Drosophila melanogaster: one gene and its partners. The protein of the gene in region 1 interacts with the protein of each later gene in a pairwise test. Each region holds a gene or a part of one and is shown on either strand. Other genes may lie near its edges.

What was found.
Region 2: the proteins of BuGZ (region 1) and tgy interact in a two-hybrid assay, tested with the Drosophila melanogaster proteins (one large-scale study listed by BioGRID).
Region 3: the proteins of BuGZ (region 1) and scrt interact in a two-hybrid assay, tested with the Drosophila melanogaster proteins (one large-scale study listed by BioGRID).
Region 4: the proteins of BuGZ (region 1) and fd96Ca interact in a two-hybrid assay, tested with the Drosophila melanogaster proteins (one large-scale study listed by BioGRID).

What each region holds. Positions count from the first base shown.
Region 1 is NT_033779.5:16,740,565-16,747,066, forward strand, and holds the start of BuGZ (Bub3 interacting GLEBS and zinc finger domain protein), read left to right. Parts: upstream 1-2,840; 5' UTR 2,841-2,965; coding exon 2,966-3,000; coding exon of another isoform or gene 3,001-3,006; intron 3,007-3,195; coding exon 3,196-3,503; intron 3,504-3,559; coding exon 3,560-3,821; intron 3,822-4,125; coding exon 4,126-4,543; coding exon of another isoform or gene 4,544-4,588; exon of another isoform or gene 4,589-5,001; intron 5,002-5,662; coding exon 5,663-6,052; coding exon of another isoform or gene 6,053-6,064; exon of another isoform or gene 6,065-6,502. Other genes in the region: ChLD3 (chitin and LDLR binding deacetylase 3), read left to right, coding at 8-740, 802-1,324, 1,383-1,661; LSm7 (uncharacterized protein), read right to left, coding at 2,105-2,422, 2,482-2,496.
Region 2 is NC_004354.4:19,123,535-19,129,604, forward strand, and holds tgy (twiggy), read right to left. Parts: upstream 3,783-6,070; 5' UTR 3,771-3,782; coding exon 3,226-3,770; intron 2,930-3,225; coding exon 2,821-2,929; intron 2,754-2,820; coding exon 2,472-2,753; intron 2,111-2,471; coding exon 1,925-2,110; 3' UTR 1,469-1,924; downstream 1-1,468. Other genes in the region: CG15882 (uncharacterized protein), read right to left, coding at 266-742.
Region 3 is NT_037436.4:3,981,462-3,987,901, forward strand, and holds the start of scrt (scratch), read left to right. Parts: upstream 1-2,434; 5' UTR 2,435-3,602; coding exon 3,603-4,029; intron 4,030-5,062; coding exon 5,063-6,440.
Region 4 is NT_033777.3:25,080,559-25,086,515, forward strand, and holds fd96Ca (forkhead domain 96Ca), read left to right. Parts: upstream 1-2,125; 5' UTR 2,126-2,993; coding exon 2,994-4,112; 3' UTR 4,113-4,320; downstream 4,321-5,957. UniProt on the Drosophila melanogaster protein: Involved in development during embryogenesis.

The DNA of each region.
Region 1 (6,502 bases):
TTTGCAGACAATGATGGAATAGTCGGCAACCAAACTCGGCATCGTCGCTCGACCTCCGGCGCAGCCAGTTGCATGCAAGATGCACGCTTCTACCGCAACCCCAACAGGCCGGTCCACAAGATCTGGACGAACAGCGAGTGCGCCAAGTATTTCCTCTGCCTCGACGGTGAGGTGTTCGAATTCAAGTGCTCCGAGGGATTGCTCTTCGATGTGGTGCGTCAGATCTGCGACTTCAAGGCGAATGTGGACAATTGCGATGTCAGCGCGGAGACGCCGGCTCCAAAACCACTACTGGAGATGGCCGACTGTGCGGATGAATACCAGTTGGGCTGCGCCGATGGTACCTGCCTGCCGCAGGAGTACTTCTGCGATGGTTCGGTAGACTGTCCCGACGGCTCCGACGAAGGCTGGTGCGATGTGGAGCACGATCCGAATGCGGCTGGTGCCTGTGATCCGCGAAAGTGCCATTTGCCGCAGTGCTTCTGCTCGAAGGATGGCACCCAGATACCCGGCAGTCTTCCGGCACAGAGTGTTCCGCAGATGATACTGTTGACCTTCGACGATGCCATCAATCACGATAACTGGGAGCTGTTCTCCAAGGTTTTGTTCACACAGCACAGGCGAAACCCCAACGGGTGTCCCATTAAGGGCACATTCTACGTTTCACATCCGTTTACCAACTATCAGTATGTGCAGAAGCTTTGGAACGATGGTCACGAGATCGCAGTGCACTCAGTAACGTAAGTTGTTGATCAGCCTGTAAATTATTTAAAATTGAAATTTCACTTTTATTGATTAAAGGCATCGTGGCCCAGAGATGTGGTGGTCCAAGAATGCCACAATTGAGGATTGGTTCGATGAGATGGTTGGCCAGGCGAATATAATCAATAAGTTCGCAGCGGTACGAATGGAGGAGATTCGTGGCATGAGAGTACCCTTTCTGCGCGTCGGCTGGAATCGACAGTTTCTCATGATGAAGGAGTTTGGCTTCGTGTACGATTCATCCATGGTTGCGCCGCATTCGAATCCTCCTCTGTGGCCCTACACCTTGGACTACAAGATGCCGCACAGCTGCACGGGCGTAAATCAGAATTGCCCGTCTAGGAGTTATCCGGGCATTTGGGAGCTGGTTATGAACCAACTGGAAGTGGGCGAGTATATGTGCGGCATGGTGGACACGTGTCCGCCGCATTTGAGCGGCGAGGATGTGTACAGAATGCTCACGCACAACTTCAAGAGGCACTACCTCAGCAATAGGGCACCATTTGGCCTGTATTTCCATTCGACTTGGTTCAAGAAAGTCGACTATCTGAATGCATTTCTGGTGAATATTCGAATTGTTACCCATAATACTAGATCTTCATTCCTTCCTGATCATTTAGAAATTCCTCGACGATCTGCAAAAGCTGCCGGATGTGTTCTTCGTGACTAACCAGCAGGCGATTCAGTGGATGCGCCATCCCACGCCCAGCAACCAGCTGCACCAATTCGAGTCCTGGCACTGCCAACCGAAGGACTTGGATCCCCACGAGCAGGTCTGCAACACGCCGAATGTGTGCAAGGTGCGTAGTCGGGTGCTGCAAGAGGATCGATTCTTCTACACTTGCATGGAGTGTCCTGCCCAGTATCCCTGGATTCGCAACGAGTTCGGCTTGGACTAAGGTGATAGCCCGCTTGACACTATAGGGCTCTGCGCAAGGCGCTTTGATATATCCATAATGTTTGGAGCGTTCCATAAGTAATTGGATAAGATTGATACAATTTTAGGTTTTAATTGTTTAGAAAAATTAATATTTATAAATTGGATTACGCATATTTAGATGATTCAGCTTTCAAAATCTGACCGTAAGCAAACCCGTAGATAACTTCGTAACATACCTGAAGAGGATAAAGTGCATTAATTTAAAATCGGAACACTCTGAATTTTATGGAGAAGCTTAAACAATTTCGCGGGCTCATAAACGTGGTACTTTGCGGCCTGATTAGATTTTAAGAACTAATTTATACGTATGTATGTCTCCGCTAAATATATTTAAACCGATTTCCAAAAGAGCTTTGTACTTAGTCTACATTCTGGAACGCATCCCAGCCACAAAACCTTGGACTATTGCGTTATAAACGGATTGGCGATGCTCTCGACTCCGTCTTGCGGACAAATGAGGACGAGGGCTGTGCCGCGACAGACGACCAGTCCCAGGCTGCGGGTCTGCTCCTCGGTCAGTTTGTAGGGCTCATCCGAGTCGCGCAGATACTCCACCGTGTTGTCCAGCACCAGATTGAGCAGCGCATCGTAGCCCTTGAGGATTCCGGATGCCTCGCGGCCGCCCGCGAATTTCACGCGGATCTGTTTCTCCAAGTACTTGGAGAGGTCCAGAATGGACTCCTTGCGGCGCTTCTCCTTACCGTCATTGTTGCCACCCACCTGACAAGTCACGATTTTGATGATTAAGCACCACAATGTAGTTATTCTATTTAATTTACCTTTTTATCTGCCATTATTCTGTTTTTGGTAAATGCCGGCTGGTAAAGAGTGACCAAAGCATATTTTTTTAGAAATACACCAAATAAGGCGCTACTAGCCAGCAGATGGCGCTGGTGAAGTAATCTTATGGGCCGCGCTTTTTGAGGTACATAATCGATAATAATGGAATAAACATATGTAAGAATTAATGTTATTTGAAAAATATGACAACAAAGTTCTCTTATTTCTACTGTCATCATTGTGAAATTATTTTCTTACCTTTTGCTATTGAGGCGAACATATCAATTTATTTGTATAATAATTATTATATTGGTTTAAGATATCGATAAGATTCATTTATTTGTATCGATATGCTGGTCACTCTGACTGGCTCTCCATTTTGTTTTCCACGACAGAGCAATTTTTAGTACAACAGATTGTTATCTTCTACCAATTACCGGATCGATTTTGTACATTTAAGTGTTTTAAAGCCACCTTAGGATCATGGGACGCAAGAAGAAGAAGGCCTCCAAACCCTGGTGCTGGTATCCTTTTCGCAAAACAAAGATATAAATATTTTTTCACTGCATGTGCCGCTCGCTGTATCTGCACATACACACACATTTATATAATGGTATTGGGTTGGGGGTAGATACACACACACATGTATATGCATACTGGCTACAACGCCGCATCCCCGTGAATTTTCCTTAACTCTTAACGCAAAAAACTAGGTACTGCAACCGTGAGTTCGATGACGAAAAGATCCTTGTGCAGCACCAGAAGGCCAAGCACTTCAAATGCCACATCTGCCACAAGAAGTTGTACACCGGACCCGGACTATCCATACACTGCATGCAGGTGCACAAGGAAACGGTGGACAAGGTCCCCAACTCGCTGCCCAATCGCTCAAATATTGAAGTCGAAATCTTTGGCATGGACGGCATTCCCGCCGAGGATCTCAGGGATCACGAACGTCAGAAGAATGGTGGCAAGTCTGATTCGGACGATGATGAACCGGTGGCCAAAAAGAAAGTAGAATGTAAGTGATCAGCAAACTGTATTGTATACAAAATCGCTATACAACATTCATTGCAGATGCCATGAGTGTACCGCCGCCTATGATGATGCCCCCGAACATGATGCCACCGCACATGCTGGGGCAGTACGGCATGGGCATGATGCAGCACATGCCGCCACTGCCTCCGTATCCAGTGCCCATGATGCCGCACATGATGCCTCCGCGTCCTTTGTTTCCAGCCGCCATGGCCACAACATCGGCGGCAGCTGCTGCGGCGGCGGCCCATCATCACCACGCCGCCGCCATGGCTCAACAAAAGCCAACATTTCCAGCGTACAGGTTAGCATCGTTAGGGGAAGACCATATAAGAATCCTTCCAATTTTTTTTTCTAAAGCTAGCAGTTAGACGTAGAGCCCTGTTAATAATCTTTTTTTTTTAAACGATTCGTATGTAAATTCAGTTTTGGGGGTATTTTAGGTGAAATACTTTCTACTCCAAATAATTGTTCACATTGGCACATTTTTAATGGTTTTCCCCTATTAAACATAGTTGTGAAGCAAGTCAAATGACTTATTATTAGGCTTAATCCTAAGAATTTGTTTTTAACTAACGTAAATCAATTATTTCTTCTTTTTGCTAAAGTAATGCTACCATAAGTGCTCCGCCTACCACCAATCATGCTGGTGGCGCATCCAGCGCACCACCAAGTGGTCCGCCAGATGCTCAGCAACACCAGCAGCGACCTCCAGCTCCACCGGCGGCAAGCGGAACTTCCGCTGCTGCTGTGACCACAAAGATTATGCATCCACAGGAGGACCTGAGTCTGGAAGAATTGCGCGCGCGCCAACCGAAAATACAAGCACGGTTGGCGGCCGCTTTGGCTTCACTGGCGAATCCACAAAGTCGCAAGAGTCCCAGCAACAATGGTGGCCCCTCTACGTCGATTCCCACCACTCCGCCGCCCCCGTCGCTGGCCGGGATCTCGCCCACGGGTAGCAATAGCAGCAGTGGCATGGCTAACTCGATTGTCGTCTCCGCAGCCATGTCGAAGGCCCAGGAAGTGAGTTCTTATCATAGTTATAGAAACCATAGTCAATATAAATAAACAGACCGTGACGGAAACGACTTCCACTGATTAACAGGAAATGACAAGCACAACGGACTGAAACGAGGACGTGTAAAAAAGACAATTTCCTCCAAAAAAAGAAAAATAATGAAAGAATAAATGTAATTGCACATAAAAAAACCTGACCCAATTTCGACTGCATTTTAAGAGAATGCATTCAGCATTCTAACAGAATTCCATTTTTCCAAACTGGACACTTTTATACATTTACTCTGCGCAGATCGCAAATTGCGACAGCGGAAGTTACGTTTAGACGACCACAGCGTACGAGAGCAAACAGATTACGAGAATCACACAATACGAAACAACATTAAAAAGAAAAGAAAACTTTTTTTAGCATATAGTATGATATATGTCTGTACAATTTTTAATTAAAAAAAATTAATGGCAACAAAACAAATGAAACGGCGGTTTTCAATTTAATTAATTTGATTTAAAACATTTTACCTCAACACATAGAGAACTCGATAGAAGGGAAAAGCAAGGTTTCGCATTGTCTTGGCCCTAAAAGTAATCTCCATCAATGTGATATGCCAACACATGTGCTAGTTTTGTATCTTAAAGGTAAAGCGGAAGCAGCTGAAATGCAATTCACATGCCCACTGATAAATAGTGAAATTCTTTATAGCGGGTGGGCTGATTTAATTGGATCATAGGGGCAGGTTTGAAGCCAGCTTGCTTAGTATGTTTTAGAAATCTATGTAGTCGGTTCCATACACGCTTAGGAAGCGTTTTTTACATCAAGCGCAGGCTAAAAACTCATTTTTAAATAGGGAATCTTAAATTAGATGATTACTTTAATTCTTGATATGATCTAGTAATTTTTGTTCGTCAATTTTTGTTACTTCAGCAGCTTACAATCTGCAATTCTATTTTTTCATTTGGGGTTCAGCCCCGTTTTTTTGAAACCCTTAAGCAAATTTTTTTGTTACCACGATAGGTACATAGAGACCTGACTCAGTCAGGATACATTTTTTTTGGGTTGACCCCGAAACTACACCCTCCCAGTGGCAAGTGAGATAAATTCAATCGATTCCAAACATTTTCTTACAGAACGCCGCTCTAGTTGCCGTGGCACAGGCGCAGGCACACGCACACGCACATGCTGCCCAGGTGCAGGCCCAAGCGCAAGCCCAGGCCGTGGTCCAAGCTCAGGTGCAAGCCGCGCATGTGGCACACGCTGTGGCAGCACAGCAGCAGGCAGTACAGCAGCAACAGGCGGCTCAGCAGCAACAGCAAGCCGCTGTGCAACAGCAGGCGGCGGTGCAGCAGCAGCAACAACAACAACAGGCGGCGGTGCAGCAGCAGCAGGCGGCGCAGCAGCAGGTCAAACAACTGGAGGAACTGAATCGGGCTGTGATGCTCCAGCGCTTTCAGGCTGCCCGACAGCCTGGGAATCCCGGTGCGGCAGCAGCGGCTGCGGCGGCCGCAGCCGTCGGCATGGTAAGTCTCTAATCATGCGGTGCTGCGTATGCCACGCGAGCAATCAAACCAAAGAATGAACTTGCCTTAACAATACCGAAATTCCGAAATTGCTGAGAATCTCAATCTGTAAAAGACCACAATACAAATACCGATCTTGTGTCCTAGAATGGTATCATAAAGCCAACGACAGCATTTTCGAGTGGGTTAACCCAATAAATAAAGCTTCGCCCTCATCATCATGGTTGGTCACCTATTAGCTAATGTTTACGCGATTAGTTGGGGGTTCTAAATTTACAATGATCCTATAGCGAGATAATCTATGGTTAACCGAAACGCACACTCATAAGACTAATCTGAAAATTTATGTTAAAACCGTCAACGGATACATTAAAAAAATGTGTGTATTTGTAAAAAAATATAACTTTTTTTTTTTAATTTTATAAAGGATTTAGTTTGTTAAAAAATTAA
Region 2 (6,070 bases), on another chromosome or scaffold:
ATAGGGATAAGCCAATGAATAATTGTAATAGTGACCCACTGAACTGAAGTGGCTCCTCAGTTAATAAATTGAAAAGCATCAGCTTTAGGCCTAATTTGAGCCGAATATATTTCAAATACGTTCAAAACTAGCTGAATATTCATCAGTAATATATTGTAGTATGCGTGCGATGAACCTTGTTCTATAGAACTTTAAACTAAACTAGAGCCGGCGAGTGTTTGGATTTTTTAATTATTGTATTAAGTTAACATATGTAGAAGTTTTCTTATTCGGGGTGGTTGATAATATATTCGTAGACCAGGTGTGCACGATGCAGCGCCAGGCCCGTGATCACTCTCCTCACATCTTTGAGCTTCAACTTGGGTGCCCTACGGGAGCGGATCATGGTGGACACGACCACTGGTAGCCTGTTCCGGAGAGGGAGTGGTGATTGCATCATCATGAACGTTTTATGCACCACATTTTGCATCTGTAGGTTGATGACCTTCACGATCCGTGCCGCATAGTCCATACTCTGCTTTTGGGTTAGCGCTTCGGGATTATTGGGCGCTTTGGTCGCTTTGGGTACAACTGCCGCAGGCGGTGGATCTTCCTTCGAAACAGATTGACCCTCGAGGTTCTTTTCCTCGCCGGCAATGTCGACATCATTCGGGGTAGCCAATTCAGAGAGTGTGTCCTCACTGAGCAGCTCCTTCAAAGATAGTTTCTCCATATTCGCGAGTTCTTTGTTCATGTTCTCCATCCTTCTGGGTTTCGGCAGCAATCAATTTAGGGTTTTCCTCAGTATTCAATATTCCCAGAAGATTGAAAAGTTGGTTTTTTAATTTATTTCGCAATAGCTCACTTGAATCGTGTAGAAAGTAAAGGATAAAGTGAGAATCATTCAACGAATAGCTGATTAACTGGATCTAAAAGTCTGGGCATACTTAAATACCAATTAGTGTGCCCGCATGTGTAAAAAAAAATTCGAATAGGAACAGAGCTTTTGCAAAGAACACTTGACTGTACTCAATACAATGCTAAAATAATTTAAAAAAAACTATACACATTCTGTTATAAATAATATGCTCTATGATCATTTTTATTTCCAGTATTAAAAGTTAAGTAATTCGATTTTTCGAATCGAGTGTTTTATATAATAATCCACATATTTAATGTCAGCAGTAGTAAAATCACTCTTTTGATCATTTGCCTTAAAGTAACAAATATGTACTTGCTTTTCGATTTCTAGTACTAGTGTTGCACAATGACGTTAAAAGGTGTTACCAGGGTTTGAAACAAGTTGCGGTAAGTTAAGCCACTCAACGCCACGTGGCCATTATTATTTCATTTACTCATTGTAGATTGTTGAAAACTGTACAAGAAGTATAACCATTTCATACGCCTTAGGCTTCTAAAGAAAACTGTTTATTTTCCTTGCGTACATATGTTGTAAAGCCAATCATTTATAGAGTTTAAGATTATTATGGCATAACAAAGTTCAAGCTGGCAACTCTAATTTGTACCATTCAACAGATCAGAGATTGCAGTCATTTCGTACGTACACTTACAATGTTAATAGTGCAGCCATACCATTATAGTTGCGACTAATTCATTTTTCTAGATATGCAACTTTTTGAAATCCTCATTGGAAATCAAGAGTAAATGTCCACCCAGTAGCCCTCCATTATCCTTTTAATGCCTTCGTGTGGCCCGTCTGCCACGAGCTGCTCAATAATAAATACATGAATAGATAAACTAGGACGTGGATCGGGCAAGGACAAGGAGTCGCAACAGGACAGCATCTGGCAGCCTTGGCACGTTCGCCTTGTGCCCATAATATATTAAATACACGATAAGCACACACAAAAAAAAAAGGATGGAAAATATGTAGATATGGACTTGAGATTGCTGCTGCTGAAGTGGCAGAATGGCTGGCTCCTGCCTAGGACACCGGATTGTCGCTCTCGGGGATGACCAGCTCCTCCTCCCGGATCTTCTTGGGCAGCCGTTCCGCCACCTGCGCCCTTCCGGAGAGCTGGAACTGGTAGTTGAAGTAGTCGTACACGTACAGCTGCTTGCTGTGCACATAGTGAAAGGCCACCGGGTACTCCGACAGGCAGTCCATGCACTGCAAGAATACGAAGATAGTTTAGATAATAATCAAAAGAGGACAAGGAATGCGAATACGAAGGTGGAAAAACTATACGTTGAGGCTTGAATATCAAAGATAAAATGCCTCCTCACGCGGTTATAAGCCAGTGACGAACGCACCTTACCACCACCTTTCTGGTAACGAAGAATGATGATTACGTTCGACTAAATAATATGAGTGCTTGGCAAAATATGGCGTTGTCTTTGTGACACTTGAGTTTATTTTCTATTTTGCTGGATTGTTAAAAGGTACTGGATGGGTAAGCTGTGCATTCATTCATATATCTACATACATACAAACGTACTTTTAGTAGGGTGCTAAATGCATCCAAACTCACCGATCTCGGATTGTAGTAGGCGTACTTGTACAACCAAAAGTCCATGCCAACGTTGCCCGAGAGAAGGGCTCCATAAGGAGCTATGGGATAGAAGCGGTTGCGCAGCTGCTCGTCCCTGGAATCACCCGCCTTCACGCCCAGGTTGAACAGGCACTTGCCCATCTCGACGTCCTCGGCGTGATCGTCCTCCTGGCGACACTTGGTGGTGTCGTTGACGCCCTCGGCGAAGATCCTAAGAGCCTCGCGGCTCAGTACGTAGCCACTGCCGCCGGACATGTATGACTATTGAATCGGATTCATATTCAGTGAGTTTGTAATGTAATCCGAACCGGACAGAAGATAAACTCACCTCGTTCTTCTGGTGAGTGCCGACCATCTTGTAATTAAATCCAAAATAAATAGGTGTCTCCGGTGAATACGGGTAGAGCATGTAGCGCAGATTTTCCAAAAAGAGGTAGCTATTGATAGGAGCAGATTGAAAGTTCAGTCAAACTTTAATAATGCTATCTTTTCTTTATCGGTTCCTAATTATTCTTCATTCAACTGTTTTGGCTGTGGCCCTAACATTGAGATACCATCAGTAGTTACACCACAAAGGTAAAACAGAATGATAATAATGTTCAATAAATACATACATACATATATACATATGTACGTGTATCTGTGGTGACGAAAACAACCATCCATTCACTTATCAATTCCTGCAATAAAATGCCACTCTTTCCCTATTTAAGAATCTGAATCTTTCACATACGTGTCGTCGTCCGCCTTTATGAACCAATCCGCCTCGTGGCGCATCTGCTCGTGGATGTGGACAAAGGCCTCTTTGGTCTTGCCCCACAGCATCTCGTATCGGTCCGGCTTGGTCAGCACAACGGTGGGCAGCTCGTCATCCGGCTCAGAGGTCATGAAGTAGATCTTATTGCAGCGTTTGCCCCACGTTCGCAAAACGTGAATGGCCCGGGTCTTGTGGTATTTGGGTGTGGTGAGCACCCAGCACAGGACTCTCACCTCCCGATGCATCTTCTCGGCCAGGGTTTCGTTGCGCAGTCCAGGCTCCATGTAATCAACAGAGCTAGTGCCTCTGGACAGTGGCAGTGCGCCGGCGTTGAGCACCATTACATCCCAGTAGGCAAACAGCCCGATCACCGTGGTGCTCACCAGCAGAATGAGCAGGACCAGGCGATCGGTGGAGATGCGCTGGGCGGAGCGGTACATGCCATTCGCCAATCCGTTGGAACTGGAATGGAAGCCCGGATAAGTCGACGAGTTCTCCAGTATGATATATTCCCCGGCCATTGAAACACTGACTTGCGGCATCGTAAGCACTGTCTATACCAATCGAAAATGGTCTTATCGCCGGGAAAATGCGGCCCAGATTAGACAAGGTGGCTGGCAGAACTAATACTTATGTCGGGAACATCGACGAGCAGGTGCGCTCAATTAGTCTTATTACTAGGTTGAAAGAGAGAGAGAGAGAGAGAGGGAGGGAGAGGGAGTAACATGCACAGAACAGAGTTAAAATGAGTGAGTGAAAGTTGCACCAGAGCTGCGGAAATAGCAATACACTAATTGATATGGTTTCTAGGTGAATGGAAATCCTTATTTAAAAAAAAAAAACATATACTCGTACATGTGGCAAACAGTAGACAAAAATAAATAAACAATTAATGTAATTAATTGCGCGTATTTCCTGATCCACAATCATAAATATTATATTGATATATTATTGAGTAACAGTTAAGCTGCTTAGAGAGGTACCAAAAGCCACTATCTATTTAAAAACTCTAAAAACTTTAGTGGTCCAAACTAATTGCTTGCCAGCTTGGATTGTACTAAGAAATTTGTTTAAATTTCACTCAGCATAGTTCATTAATCAAAACACTTGGGACAAGCACACAGAGCAACAAGCACCTCGAAAGGAAAAATATAGAAATAATAAAAAAGTGAGTTCTAAAAGGGGGGGGGTTGGGTGAACGCAAAACCCGAAAACAGTTGAAGTTGAGAGAATCTTTCAATTAATCATGAGCGACATGTGGTCGTTGCTGGACGCTTTTCAGTGGCGTTGCCAAGATGGGGGGGGACTAAGGCGTGGGCGTGGCACACTGGCAAGGACCGCCAGCAGTGCGGGAAAAATAATATAGCGCATACGCCCTGTGGGGCACTCCAGCACTCCGACGCTCCGGCACTCGGATGCTCGCGTGCAAACAAATGGCTGCCATAATAGCGACGAGGCGGCATCCTGGTCGCATCCTGGTCGCATCCTGGACGCATCCTACACCCCGCGCCCCGTAACCATCCAATCCGCCTGCGCTGGCAAACAAATTCCCATTAATAAAATAAAATGCAGCCAGCGGCGGTGAGGAGTAGCGGCTAAGAATGAAAACTATTTGGCATTGTGGGCGTGTGACCCCGCTGCGATTTGCCACCAGCAAGCAGAAACCAGCTACCATTTCTACCATTGCCCATTGCCCAAACAAATACAAATTTTTCCAATAAAAGCGGCGGCTTTGCTCGCGCATTTTTTTCTCTTCGAATGTCAAAATTAGTTTTGGCCTGGGCAAACAGTTCAACATGAAATGCAAATAGGAGTGGGTGCCAAGTGGGCCTGATAAATGCCTTTGACCTTTCCGATGACGTGACCCACATGGGCTGTGGGTCCGCCCGACCATGGGCGTTGGCCAGCGGAGGAGACTCCATTACTTTCCCGGTACAATTTACTTTAAATGTATGTATGTAAGAACCACTTAACGCGTTCTTCCATTGTTTAATGTCGGTTCAACTATTTTGCCCTGCAACTTCGGTGGCAATTCAATTTAAAGGACAAAAGAAGCTGGATCCTGTCTCCTCTCTCCTGACCTATCCCATTTCCTAACTCTCCCCCCCCCCCCCTTTCAATCCCATCTTTTCGGCCGACACTGGCCCCACAATCAACAGTTCCTTTCCATCTGGTTCCCGCAGCCTCAATACAATAAAAACTCAGCCAAACAGGCAGTCCTGCGATGGTCGGTCGGTTGGTTGGTCAACTGCAAACTGGGCAAATCACAAAAATAAACCAAAGTCAAATGTATAACTGCAGATTTTTTGTAATAATGTTAGCTTTCGGATTTTACAAGCGCGCCAAGGCAAACGCCATTTGTCTCGCTGCCTGAATGTACTTCTCCCCGTCTCATTCGCTCCTTTCCATCTCTTTCTTTCGTTCTGTATGTAAATATGAGTGTGTGTGTGTGCATTGTTTGCCATGGAGATGACCGCGTGAAAAGATTCATCTTGAATAAATTGAAGTATTCAAACACAACTGAACTGAGCACATTTTTGAAAAAAGTCAAACTTAAGAAAAATGCATGAAAAATGATTGATAAGATAGGATATTTTGTGAAATCAATCTAAGATTCTATATAATCAAGATCGCTCATTCTCTCTCTCACTCCCACCACCACCACTACCAACCAATGCATGTGTCTGCGCCACACACATGCACACGTAAGCACACCGACGAACACACACACACACACACACACACACACGCAGTGAGACATCAAACGTGCAAACATTTGCCATATTTTTGTAATCAAAGTAAACAATCCACTTAACCCAAC
Region 3 (6,440 bases), on another chromosome or scaffold:
GTGGAGAGGGTGTGGAGTGTGCGCGTGGCCAGCGGCGATCGAGGGATTCAGGTCCTGCCTAGTGGGTCCTTGTACACACATTCCTCAAGGAGGCGGAGGGTGCGACTAACGAAGCGCAACAATTTCGTCGTTCGTGGGCCGCATAAAGCGCATCTTGGCCGGAATCGCCTTCAAGTCTGTTGGCTGGAAAAGCAGATTACCATGCGCTAGGAGCCGTGTGCCAGACGAGTGGTTTCGTCAACACCCTAAGAAAGGATGGGCACTGGGAAAAATAAGCTCTAAGATGCATATTTTAAGATGCTTTGATAGCCATAACATTTAACTCAAGATGTCGAATATGTGAAGTATAATAATTATCGGATAAAACATTTATAGTATAGTCATAGTTTATTTAATACCATAGCTAGGACTCGCAACATTTTCTCTCAGTGCAACCTGGGTGGGGTGGAAAGGGGCATACTTAGGGCTTCTACTTAGGTGCCGGGCGTAGGGCGAGCCCAATTTTTTTTTATAATTAGTGCAGTCGAATTCCACAGATGGTCTATACGTTACTTTGGCATTAATATTTACATACCGCCGTTCATTTTCAAGGAATGCCCGAAGAGGTCCTTATGGCCTGTCACTCCGCGAGATGGATGGACAGATATTTGGAGCGGTGGGCACTTCTTGGTTTTCCTCAAAAAATTCGAAATAGTTTAAACAGGGAAACCATAGAAAAAAGGTTGCATCTGTTTCGAGTGGGGCACAGGAAGTGGGTTCAACGAAGGACCCCGGGGGATACCATAGTAAACCGAATGAAAATTCCAATGAAAAGTATATATAATTTTTAAGGACTGCAGCCGCTGCAGAAGCGACGCTAAGCTCGTCTGAGGCAGACAAATTGTCTGTTGTCGCTGGCTAATTAAAAGGTTAAGAACTTTGTAATTTAAGTGTCTGATTATGCAAAGCCCGAGCTCCCCGTTCAGCTAACCGAAGCTCCACTTTAATTAATTAGTTTTGTGTGTGTTGCACTGACTGGGAATGCGAACAGATTGTATATGTAAGTAAGTCGCTTCTCAAGATGTTCTAGGGATTTTATGGTGGGTCATCTTGAACGCATTGTTTGAAAGCATTTCAAGGATTCTCTAAGGTTTTTACTTTAATCGAAGTAAGGTTAGTACTACATTTTAAAGTAGTATGTTACGAGTTATCTCTAGATAATGATTCTAGTTCTAATAGGTTCAATTAATAGCCAAACAAATGTTTTTACAAATATAAATATTGCTATAGACTTCACATAGCTGGACCCCTTTGCGGGCATCAAAAAACCCTGGAAATCCATCCCAAAATCGTGTTCATTTCATACTGGGAGTGTGGCATATGACACATCCAGCTGTCAATCAAACCCAACTCGGCAGGAGCTGCAATTAATCATCCAACGATTTGAGTTGCCGCACTCATATCCGACCTCTGTGATCTGAAAAGTAAACCACTTATTCATGGCCAGTGGAGAGCCGTCAGTGCAGAGAGACGAGGGCGACAGAAGTTAGTTTGTGCTGTTTATCTTGTACTAACTGAGTTAGGGCCAAGGACCAGCGACTGTTGCATCCCCTCAACCCGTTACCCCAACCAGCATAGTATATATGTTTACGGGAAAGTAGCGTACACCCCCCTTTGGCCATCCCGTCGCTGGCAATTTGTTCAAAATCAGAGCCAGCAACAAATGCAATGCAACAGCAATTAACTCGGCACAACTGCCACATTCTGGGCGCAAAATCCACCCCGTGTATCGTGAATGGGAGCCTCAGGCGGCCAAGAGCCAAGAGGCAAGAGCCGCGAGCCCCAAGCCGAAAAAGTTCCAAAAGGGCCAAAGAGCCATGAGCCAATTCTCAGGTATGGCTGGGGGTCCGGTGCCTCCACGTCGAAAGAAAGAGACCGAGTGGGAGAAGGTGGGGAAATGGAAAGAGAGAGGCGCAACAATTTTGAAATCGGGAGAAAGCAACAGCGGGGAATGTTTTGGCAATGAAACACTTCCTGATTGTTGCCTTTGCTCTAGGGCGCTGGCACACGATGCGATTTCTTAGAAGATATGTTAGAAAACTCTTTGTTTTTAAGGGTTTCACTGGTATTTTAGGCATGAAGGCCAGCACTAAGTTATGTTTTATTCTTTTGGCCGCTATTACCTTATGTTATTTCAGTGATTTAGGTTTCTTGAGCATATTCCATCGTGTGTACCAGCCCACAGGACGAGCAACAGCAATAGCAACAGCTATGCGCTTCCTTTCTGGGGGTTGGAACTTAGGGGCTGTGCCGCTCTCAGCGTTCCGCTCTCTGGCGCTCCAGTGCTCTCGCTCTTCCCTTCGGCTCGTTTCGGCTGCAAGGCGACGCGGTTCGGCTGGCTGTCGTTATGCTGGGGGTGGACCACCCTTATAAGCGGGCTCTCGGGCCGCAAGACTCTCATAAGCATTCAAGAGTTGCTTACGTTCGGTTCGTTCGCATTTCTTCTCTATCTTATATAATATTATATTTTCTCCTAAATCAATTTTTTCACTACCAACAACAACAACAATAATAACAACTCAACTATTCTCAACTCGCGTCAACCTTAACTTTCTCAAAAACAACAAACTACAACTCTACCACTACCAATCTGTCAACTTTCCGTTTTTAAACTGAAACTGCAAACCAAAACATTTATTTTCGTCTCGACGGCCATTGACAAAGTTTTGTTTTCCAAAAACCCGAGGAGAAAATTGCCAGCCCAAAAAGAGTTGAAAGGATACCCCAAAGATTCGTTCAAAAATCGTCCCCCCGTTATGTTTTGAGTTCAATTCCGTGTTGAAAACAAACGTGAACGTAAACGCAAATGTAAATGTAAAAATCGATAAGCCACACGCAGCCAGCCAACTGAACGCGAACGTGTCCGTGTGTGTTTCGTGGAGCGAGGGGATTGAACGGGGGGAACTGACCAAAAATCGGTGGCCCTGGCCAAAAACGCAAAAACTCCGGCCCAAAAAGAAAAAAAAAAATACAAGAAAAGCAAAGCAAAGCAAAGTAAAGCAGAGCAGAACAGAGCAGAGAGAGCGACTCGAAACTCCAGCCCAAATGACGGATACGGGTCTGACAACGAATCAAGCGCCGAAATGTGTGAAGTGGCTGTGAAACCCGAGGAATCCTAACTAAAAACCAAACCAATTTACAATAAAATGCAAATTACTAAGAATATTTAACCGAAACGCACCAGACCACACCACTCCACTCCACACACACAGACAGACACACGAGACACGGCAGAAATGCCAGGCCTGAAATTCAACAAGCTGTACGACTAAAACTTTAAGAGATCTTTCGGCGAGCCAAACTCTATATACAATATATATATATATATATATATATATTAATATATATATTTTCCCATGCGAGATAACAACAGCAACGTTTCCTTTCCGCTTTTGCCACAAATAATACCCCCTGAGACGGTCTTTGCTCGCTCGAAACTCGACACTAGCTTCAGCACTTAGCCCTCTAAGATCTACTAACTGGATCCTGATCAAGCTCCTAGCCAAAACTCCAACTCCAACTCCAAAACCTCTAATCTACAAAGAAAAAAAAAAACACAGAAAATGCCGCGCTGCCTGATAGCCAAGAAGTGGAAGGCCTATCCCTGGCTGGATCGGACGGAGGATACTAGCAACCAGCAACAGCAGCAGGAGCAGAGTGCCCCCAACTCGCCTCGCGAACTGGAGGAGCTGCATCTCAAGTCCAGACGCTCCACCCTGGACGACGACGAGGAGATCGATGTGGTGGGCGACAAATTCCTGATCAAATTGGAGAAGCAACGCACAACAGCAGATGCTGCCGCAGCAGCAGCAACATCATCCGAAGCAGCAACATCGCACAGCAGCAACAGCAGCAACATGGAGGCATCGGCGACGACGACGACGTCCAAGTGCTGGGGACCCAGTTCACCCACGGCGGGCACCACGGCTCCAAGTCCGCCTCCCCATTCGCCGGAGGCGGCGACGCGAGTGGCCGGCAATGTTTACAACGGTAAGTTAGCCCTCGGGAAAGTCGGGAAATCGGAAAACACTGCTCCAGCCAGTGAGGCGGGGGTGGTGGAAATCGAGATGGGGCGCACGTAATCGCTGTCATTGATGTGGCCATTGTGCGATTGCGAAACAATTCCGAATCAATTTAATTGCCTTTGTTGTCACTCAATATTGTTTGCAATTCCGGCCAGCGGGCCACAAAACGCAGAACGCACAGACCCTCGCCGACTTCCTACTGCCAACTTCCAGCTCGGTTTCCATTCCCTTTGGCGTGAAAACAATGGTACAGGCCAAAATTAAACCGTTTGCCTTCGTCCTTTTTGTTGAATGTGTGCCTGTCACTGTTTTCCACGTACAATTGCGAAATTAATTATTCAGTGGAAATTAGAAGCAAGGCAGACCTAAAAACCACTCACAATAGACATCCTTTCTATAGGTTTAGGCTTTAAAAGCTAAAAATAACTTACTACGAAACAGATTTAAAGTAATTGCACTAACCCATTTTTTAGCTGTGAGCTGTTGCTCTTCTGTGTACTTTTCTACTTCGCCAAAGTTCTTATTTTGCGGAGAAAATCCTTTGAGCAAACATAATATTTTCCAGCACATACAAAATAGTTATCTTAGCACAACTCCAGGCGTGGTCTTTGATATTTATGTTGACCTTTTAAAGTTTGCCCTTGGTTAAAAGAAATTATACGCATGTGTCAGTCCTTCATATTTAAATGAAAGCTATTGTTTAAAGTTTGTTAAAGAAAATATCTTAAGAATGGCAGAGGGTAAATGTTTTGGCAGCTTATAAAGAAAAGGAAACGGAAAAATTATAATCACAAAGAAATTATAAGTGCATGTCTAGGAAGTTTAAGCGAATCATATACTCTACATCCGACTACATTAAGTATATTTTCCGGCACAAAAACATTACAATGACTGAAACTCTTATTTCAAAAGAAAAAAGTGTAGCATACTTCAGGAACCATGATAAATGCTGCTGAATAAAACTTAACCCATGATTTAATTTTTTCTGCTTTTTACAGGCTACACCCGCGAACTTTCGCCGCTGCACTACACCGCGTACCTGCCCCGCATGGAGAGCGAGATAACCGTGATCCGTGCCGCGGCTACAGCTCTGGTGGCAGCCAGGACATCCGGAAACGGAAGTGGAGATCAGCACCTGGCCGCCTACCAAACGCCGCCCTCGTCCACCACGTCATCACCCTCTTGTTCGCCCAGCGGCGCCGGCGATCGGTACAGTCCGCTCTCGAGTGGACAGACCTCCAGTGAAAGGAAGTGCTTCAGCAGTACGGGAGCCACACTGTCGCTGCCGCCGAAGAAGAAGGACATCTACAGGCCGTATTCCTTGGACGACAAGCCGGCGCACGGCTATCGAAGAAGGGTACCGGCGGAGGAGGACCTGCATGCGGCACATGCTATCCTGGATCTGAGTGCGAGCACAGCCTTCCACCCGCCCACGCAACCTCACCAGTTGCAGCAGCAGCAACAGCAGCAGCAGCAGCAGCATCAGCATCACCACTCCCAGCAGCAACACCTTGCCCCGCAGCAACATCACTACTTGCCACTGCAGCAGCAACAGCAGCAGCAGGCACACCACACCCACTTGCCAACTCTCGAGGCGCATGCGCATCTGCGCAGCACGTCATCGATTGCCGAACTGGCTGCAGCGGCCAGTGTGGTAAATGAGCAACGCCCCGCCAGCAATGCCTCGAGTGCCAGCAGCAATCACATGCCCAGCAGTCCCAGCAGCAACTCGAGCAGCAGCAGCAGCCAGGTGCAGAACGAGAACAGCAACACCACCAACACGAACCCGGATGGGGATGGATGTCTTCAGGATGGCGAGCACAGTGGCGCCTCCGGAGCGTCGGCCAAAACGGTGGCCTACACCTACGAGGCCTTCTTCGTCAGCGATGGCCGTTCGAAGCGCAAACATGTGGCGGATCCTGCAGCTGCCGCCAGCGGAGTGCCCACTCCTGACCAGCAGAAGACCAAGTACACGTGCTCCGAGTGTGGCAAGCAGTATGCCACCTCCTCGAACCTGTCGCGCCACAAACAAACCCATCGCTCGCTGGACTCGCAGTCCGCCAAGAAGTGCCACACCTGTGGCAAGGCCTACGTTTCCATGCCCGCCCTGGCGATGCACTTGCTCACGCACAAGCTATCCCACAGTTGCGGCGTCTGTGGCAAGCTGTTCTCGAGGCCCTGGCTGCTCCAGGGTCACCTGAGATCGCACACGGGCGAGAAGCCCTATGGATGTGCGCACTGCGGCAAGGCCTTCGCCGATCGTTCCAATCTACGAGCACACATGCAGACCCATTCGGTGGACAAGAACTTCGAGTGCAAGCGGTGCCACAAGACCTTCGCCCTGAAGTCATACCTCAACAAGCATTTGGAATCGGC
Region 4 (5,957 bases), on another chromosome or scaffold:
TGTACTCCAGCGATGGCCAATCGCGTCCTAGGTTTCCCATTTGTATAGACAAGCGGCTGAGCGAGATGGAGCGATAGCGTCGGCGTAGTGCCATCCCGCTTTGCCGCCACATGGCTCTCACCCCATTCTCCACTCGGAGTTCCATGCCACATACCACATACTACATCCCATACCCATGTCCATGTCCAAGTCCAAGGCGATTCTCTCTCTGCGGGCCATATCGCTGTTAACCTTCGCTCGCCGAGCACCTAATTATCGCTATGAACGGCACAATTATGGCCCAATGCGATTGTTGTTTATAAACAGATAAATAAATTCATAATTAACTAGGGCGTGCGTTGTTGGAAATATATTTTTTTCACATTTTATTATCCATTTTTAAAGATATTAATTGGCATGGGTGTGCTATTCTGGGTTTTTTGAAATTATTACAAATATATGGAACACTTTCTATCTAACAATAAATGAAGATAGTTATAATAATAGTATTATGTGTACTTTATGCTAATTTCTGAGCCCATCTTCGCTATTCCTCAGAACTGGCAACAAAAAGCAGGCCAATAGTTCATGTGATTAAAATTCAATTATACCACTGAGCAGCTATTTGCCACTGCTTAACTACTCATTTGCCTTCGTGTTAGTCAGATATCATTAATTTACACTTGGTGAAGAACAGGAAGAATGCAGACTCATTAATAGCTAATGCGATTTAATACACCCATCCGCGGGATTGCGATTTGCTGCTCTATCGGGCGCACTATTAAAGACAATTATCCATCCTAGTGTTAAATCGAGTCTCGCCAAATCGCGCTGCTGCCCCATCAGCCCCATGAGCTCCATAATCCACTGATGGCCCATACCCATGCCCATACCCATACCCATACTGATGCCCACACCGAAACACAGAAAACACTAAATACAAAACACAAAATACCAAATACAAAATACAGGCCCAAACCCACACGTTCGCTGAATGCGGTGGCAATGTGCTTTGGCTTTTACGTTCTGTGGAATCATGGCCGAGTCGCAAGCAGGCAAATTAACTAACAAGATTATGAAAACGTAAAATCAGTAAATCGGTAAAGTGGTTGTAATTTTCTTTTTCAACACCTCTCTCGCATTGGGCCGTTAGCCAGTCGCGGCCTGGCCAGAGTCCCAGTCCCATACCCATACCCACTTCCAGTCCCAGTCCCAGCCATGGCCAGAACCAGCTGCCGGGGCGGCTGCTCTTTTGTCCGGAGCAGCAGCAGCAGCAGCAGGAGCAGCACCAGCGCTGAGGCAGCGGCAGCGGTAATACCAAAGGCAAAGCTAAATAAAACCGACGAGATACTCCCCTCGTACACGGCGAGAAATCGTGTGCGCTTTCATTGAAGTGCATGCAAGAAAGCTTTTGAAAATTTATTCCTATGTTAATAACTTCAATTACAAACAGCGGCTAGTTGCATGCAGAAAAAGCTTACTTTTTACAACATCTTATTTATGGTACTGGTAGTAATAAACTTAAGCAATAAAACAGTCAAAAGTTTAACTAGCACAATAATAGATTTGTATTTGATTTATTATTATAATGGATTTCTGATTTGGGAAAGCCTAACCACCAATCTTTTAGATGAACCTTGCACGTGAAGTCCGAATTATATGATCCCCATATAAGGAAGGTATAAATAATAAATAAATAATTCGAAAAAAGAAAATCCTTTAAAAAGTTCTGACCTTTATCAGTATAGCAATCAATATGTTATAGGCCTCATAGCATAAGTATTTAGATAGCAGGACTCATACCTTTATTAAGAATATATGATGCAGCACTCGTAGATCTAAGGGATTGTCGAACTCATTCGCTCGTTTAAACTTCGAATAGGGGTATGGGTTTTTCGGCCAGTGTACCGCCTAGCCGCAACCACCGGCGGGTCAGGGATAGGGGTGGTGCAGGGGCAGGAGCTCTCCGCTGGAGCGGCGCAGTGCGGTCTGGTCAGACTGGTTTATTCGTTTAGTAAATCTCAGACTCTTTGCTTTGGCTCTCCTCGCCGCTTTGAAGTTTCGCCGTGGCGGAGGGATGATGCATGTTCGCATCGCGGTGATTGGGAGAGAGCACGGGGGCAATGATGTGAGTGATTATATTTTGATTGCATTGCTCACTGTGGTTGGTTGTACGTACGGACCGCGGAGGACTGCAGACCTGGACGACTGCAAAACTGGAGGACTGCAGAACTGCAGAACTGCAGAGCTGGAGAACTGGGGACGGCATTGCTCACTTAGTACAATAACCGGCACGTCGTCTGCCAGTCTGCTGAAACAGTAATTTTTTGTGTGCCGTGTTCTTCGTTTGTTGTCGTTTGTTTTGTTCCCGCTCTATCGCTATCTTCGCCCCAAGTTCGCCCCAAGTCCGCTCCAGCTTTATAGCCCACCACCACCATCACCACCGCCGCTCACGTATTCGCATTCAGCTTTTGATGGTAATTTGCCAGGCAGGCGGAGGGCGGCAGTTGGAGGGCGGCAGGGCGCACAGTCGGATGGGGAAACCTCAGTGAGAGTGCTTTTCCTTCCAGAGTGCCAGTGCCAGTGCCAGTGGCAGAGCAGAGCTGAGCTGCTCCAGTGGTAGTGGTGGTGGCGAAGCCAGTGTCGTCGCCGGAGCTTATAACGAGCGTAGTTCTTGCGCAGAGTTTATTGCCGACAGTTGGCGCGATCTTGTTTGCCGTCGCTTCTTGTCGCTATCTCGTCCATATCACACATCGCCATGCCGCATCGCCACCGTGCCCCAAATGGATGTTCCTCGCTAGCAAATCCACTAGCTGCTCCCGCTTATGTTCCTGCGACGGCACGCGGCATTGCTCCTCATTGCGCCGCATGCGTTTAGGATATTCATACGTTTGACGGACGAAAATAATACGAGTGATTAGCAAGTGCTTGAGTGCATTCATAAATCAAGTTAGCCTGCAAATATGTAACACTGTGATGTGCGGAACAAATTGAGCCGAAAACATTGTGTAATAATGCCCCGGCCCTCGCGAGAATCCTACGGCGAACAGAAGCCCCCCTATTCGTACATTTCGCTAACGGCCATGGCCATCTGGAGTTCGCCGGAGAAAATGTTGCCGCTCAGCGATATCTACAAGTTTATCACGGACCGATTTCCGTACTACCGCAAGAACACCCAGCGCTGGCAAAATTCGCTGAGGCACAATCTCAGCTTCAACGATTGCTTCATCAAGGTGCCCCGACGGCCGGATAGACCCGGCAAGGGAGCCTACTGGGCACTGCATCCGCAGGCCTTTGATATGTTCGAAAACGGCAGCCTGCTCCGGCGGAGGAAGCGCTTCAAGCTGCACAAGAACGACAAGGATCTGCTCAACGAGGAGCTGACTGCCCTGGCGAACCTCAATAGATTCTTCTTTACCACCCGTAACGGAGGCAGTGCAGCGCACATGTCGCCGCTGGATATGAACAATGCGGCCGCCATGAGACTGGATCCACTGCCCAGGAGCACGGCGCACATGCCAAACTCCCTGGGTCCAGGTGTGCCACTGCCGCACGTAATGCCCGCCTCCATGTCCGGTGCGGATCACACGAATCTGGCGGACATGGGACTGACCAATCTGCCCGCGCTAACCAGTTCCGAGATCGAGGGACCGCTGAGCCTGCGACCCAAGCGATCCTTCACGATAGAGAGCCTGATCACGCCCGACAAGCCGGAACATCCGTCGGAGGACGAGGACGACGAGGATGACCGCGTCGATATCGATGTGGTCGAGTGCAGCGGTATCAGCCGCTATCCCACAACGCCCGCCGCCTCCGAGGAGTATATGTCCGCCAGCCGATCGAGCCGAACGGAGGATCCCCTGCCGCCGATGCACACGATCAACGCCGGTGCCCACGTGCCGTTTCTGCACTATGCCACGGGTGCCAATGTGGCCGGACTGCCAGCGTCGGGAATACCCAATAGCCCCACCACCTACGAGCTGGCCATCTCGCATCCGCTCTTCATGATGGCGGCGCCCATTGCCAACATGCACAACATATACTACAATAATGTTACCCTCGTCGCTCCGGCGCAGCAATATCGGAGCCCCGAGGTGCAGAATAGAATAGACAACGATATGCGTACGATATAGATAAGTGGCAACAAGCAGGGTAGTAACGAAACACACCTATGTACTATATAGCATTATTTATGAACGATATATGTATATGTATATTTATGTATGTATATCCATCCAAACGTAGTTCCTTTTGTATTAAGATTAATTGTAATAGGACCAAAACATATGGTATACATTCATAGGCGTAGAAAGGCTTGTAAATACAATTTTATTAGCTTGTATCACATATCCGTATTAGTAAATTATTTATTTTATTTTTATCGAACCTAGTGCATAGATCGATCCTTTTGTGAAGAATATAAACATTTAAACAACTTAAAGAAGTGTTTAGAAAAATCGAGCGGAAACAGTGAAATGTAGTGAACGTAAGTAAAGTTTAGTTATCTAGCTTTTTTTTCAACTTTAAGATCTTCACCCAGCTTTATAAATGAAATCCAGTCTATATACATTTTTAGCCCCAAAAAGTATTTCAGTTATGGCTTCGAGTTTGTTTGACTTATTCAATTATAATCACATTAAAACGATTTTATATTTTATAAAAGCGGTTCTTAATTGAATTCTAGAATATCACAATTTTTTTTATTAAATTTCGAAAATCGTGTCTTTTCAAACAGGCTTAAGCTTCTTTGGTTAAATCTGTAGTTTTTCACAAAAGCCATTGAGATTATAAATATTTTGGAAATATTCCAAATCTTTAGAAAGTTTTTAGCAATGTCCTTATTCAAAAAACGGGGTTCTTCTTGTTACAAAAGTAAGTGTTATATATTTTTCTGTCTTTTAAAAAGGAAGTAACATCATTTAAGATTTGGTTATATTTTAATCGAAACATAAAACGAAATTTTTCTGAGAAATGCTTTTTATCCCGCTTGTCCCTTAACTTTTACTAACTTTAAAACTTTTATAACTTTTTATTAACTTTTTTTTTAATAATGTGTTTGGAACGATCTAATTTAGCAAGTGATCCGTGATATCAAGATTTCCTTTTTAGCCTCTAAGAACCAGCAGATCCCCTAATTCTCAAAAAAATATCATTACTATTGCCTTTTTCGCCTTGTGATAATTTTGTGGAACGCGTCGGTCCTTCCTTTCTTGTTGAAATAAACACATGTCTGCATTTAACAAGCAGGACGCGTGAAATTTAAAACACTTTCAGGTTATTAACATGAAGGCAGCAATAATAATGAGGAGCGCAGGGAACGAGGCTAATGAATACAACAGCTGAGTTATTTGGCCATAAATACACACATGCACATAATCGCTTCGAGCCGTTTAGCGTTTCTTAGCCTCCTTATTAGCCATCCTTCTAGTCCTTCTCTTTCGCTCGCCACTCATATTCTTAGCAAAAACAAACCAGCAATTAATGATTTAAAGAAGTGAATAGCGAACAATTTTTTACTATTTAAAAAATGTATTAACTATTCTTCAACATGTGATTTTCCAATATGGATCTTATGAAAGAACTGAAAATGGTATAGTAAAATATATTAGGGATTGGAGCACAAATTCCATTCATACGAAACATTTTATTAATAATCGAGTAATCCAGGTTTTGAGTTTCTTCTTAGATTACGATCCTGTAACTTGAGAACTACGGAAATTTGATTATGTCGCTGCCAATTTGCTCAATTTAAATGCGGTTTCTTATGGTGCCTTTTTGCATTTTGTACAAATTAACACATTTACAAGAAACTTGTTTTACTTGCGTGACACAAGTTTAAGGCTTAGCGAATAATAAGTACATATTTACATGAATTAGTTAAGCGAGACCCTAAGTAATCAAACAATTTTCGATGCTCGATTACCATGCGTGCACCAAATCAAATTACTAATGGGAAATTAGCCTAAAATAAGGTAAGC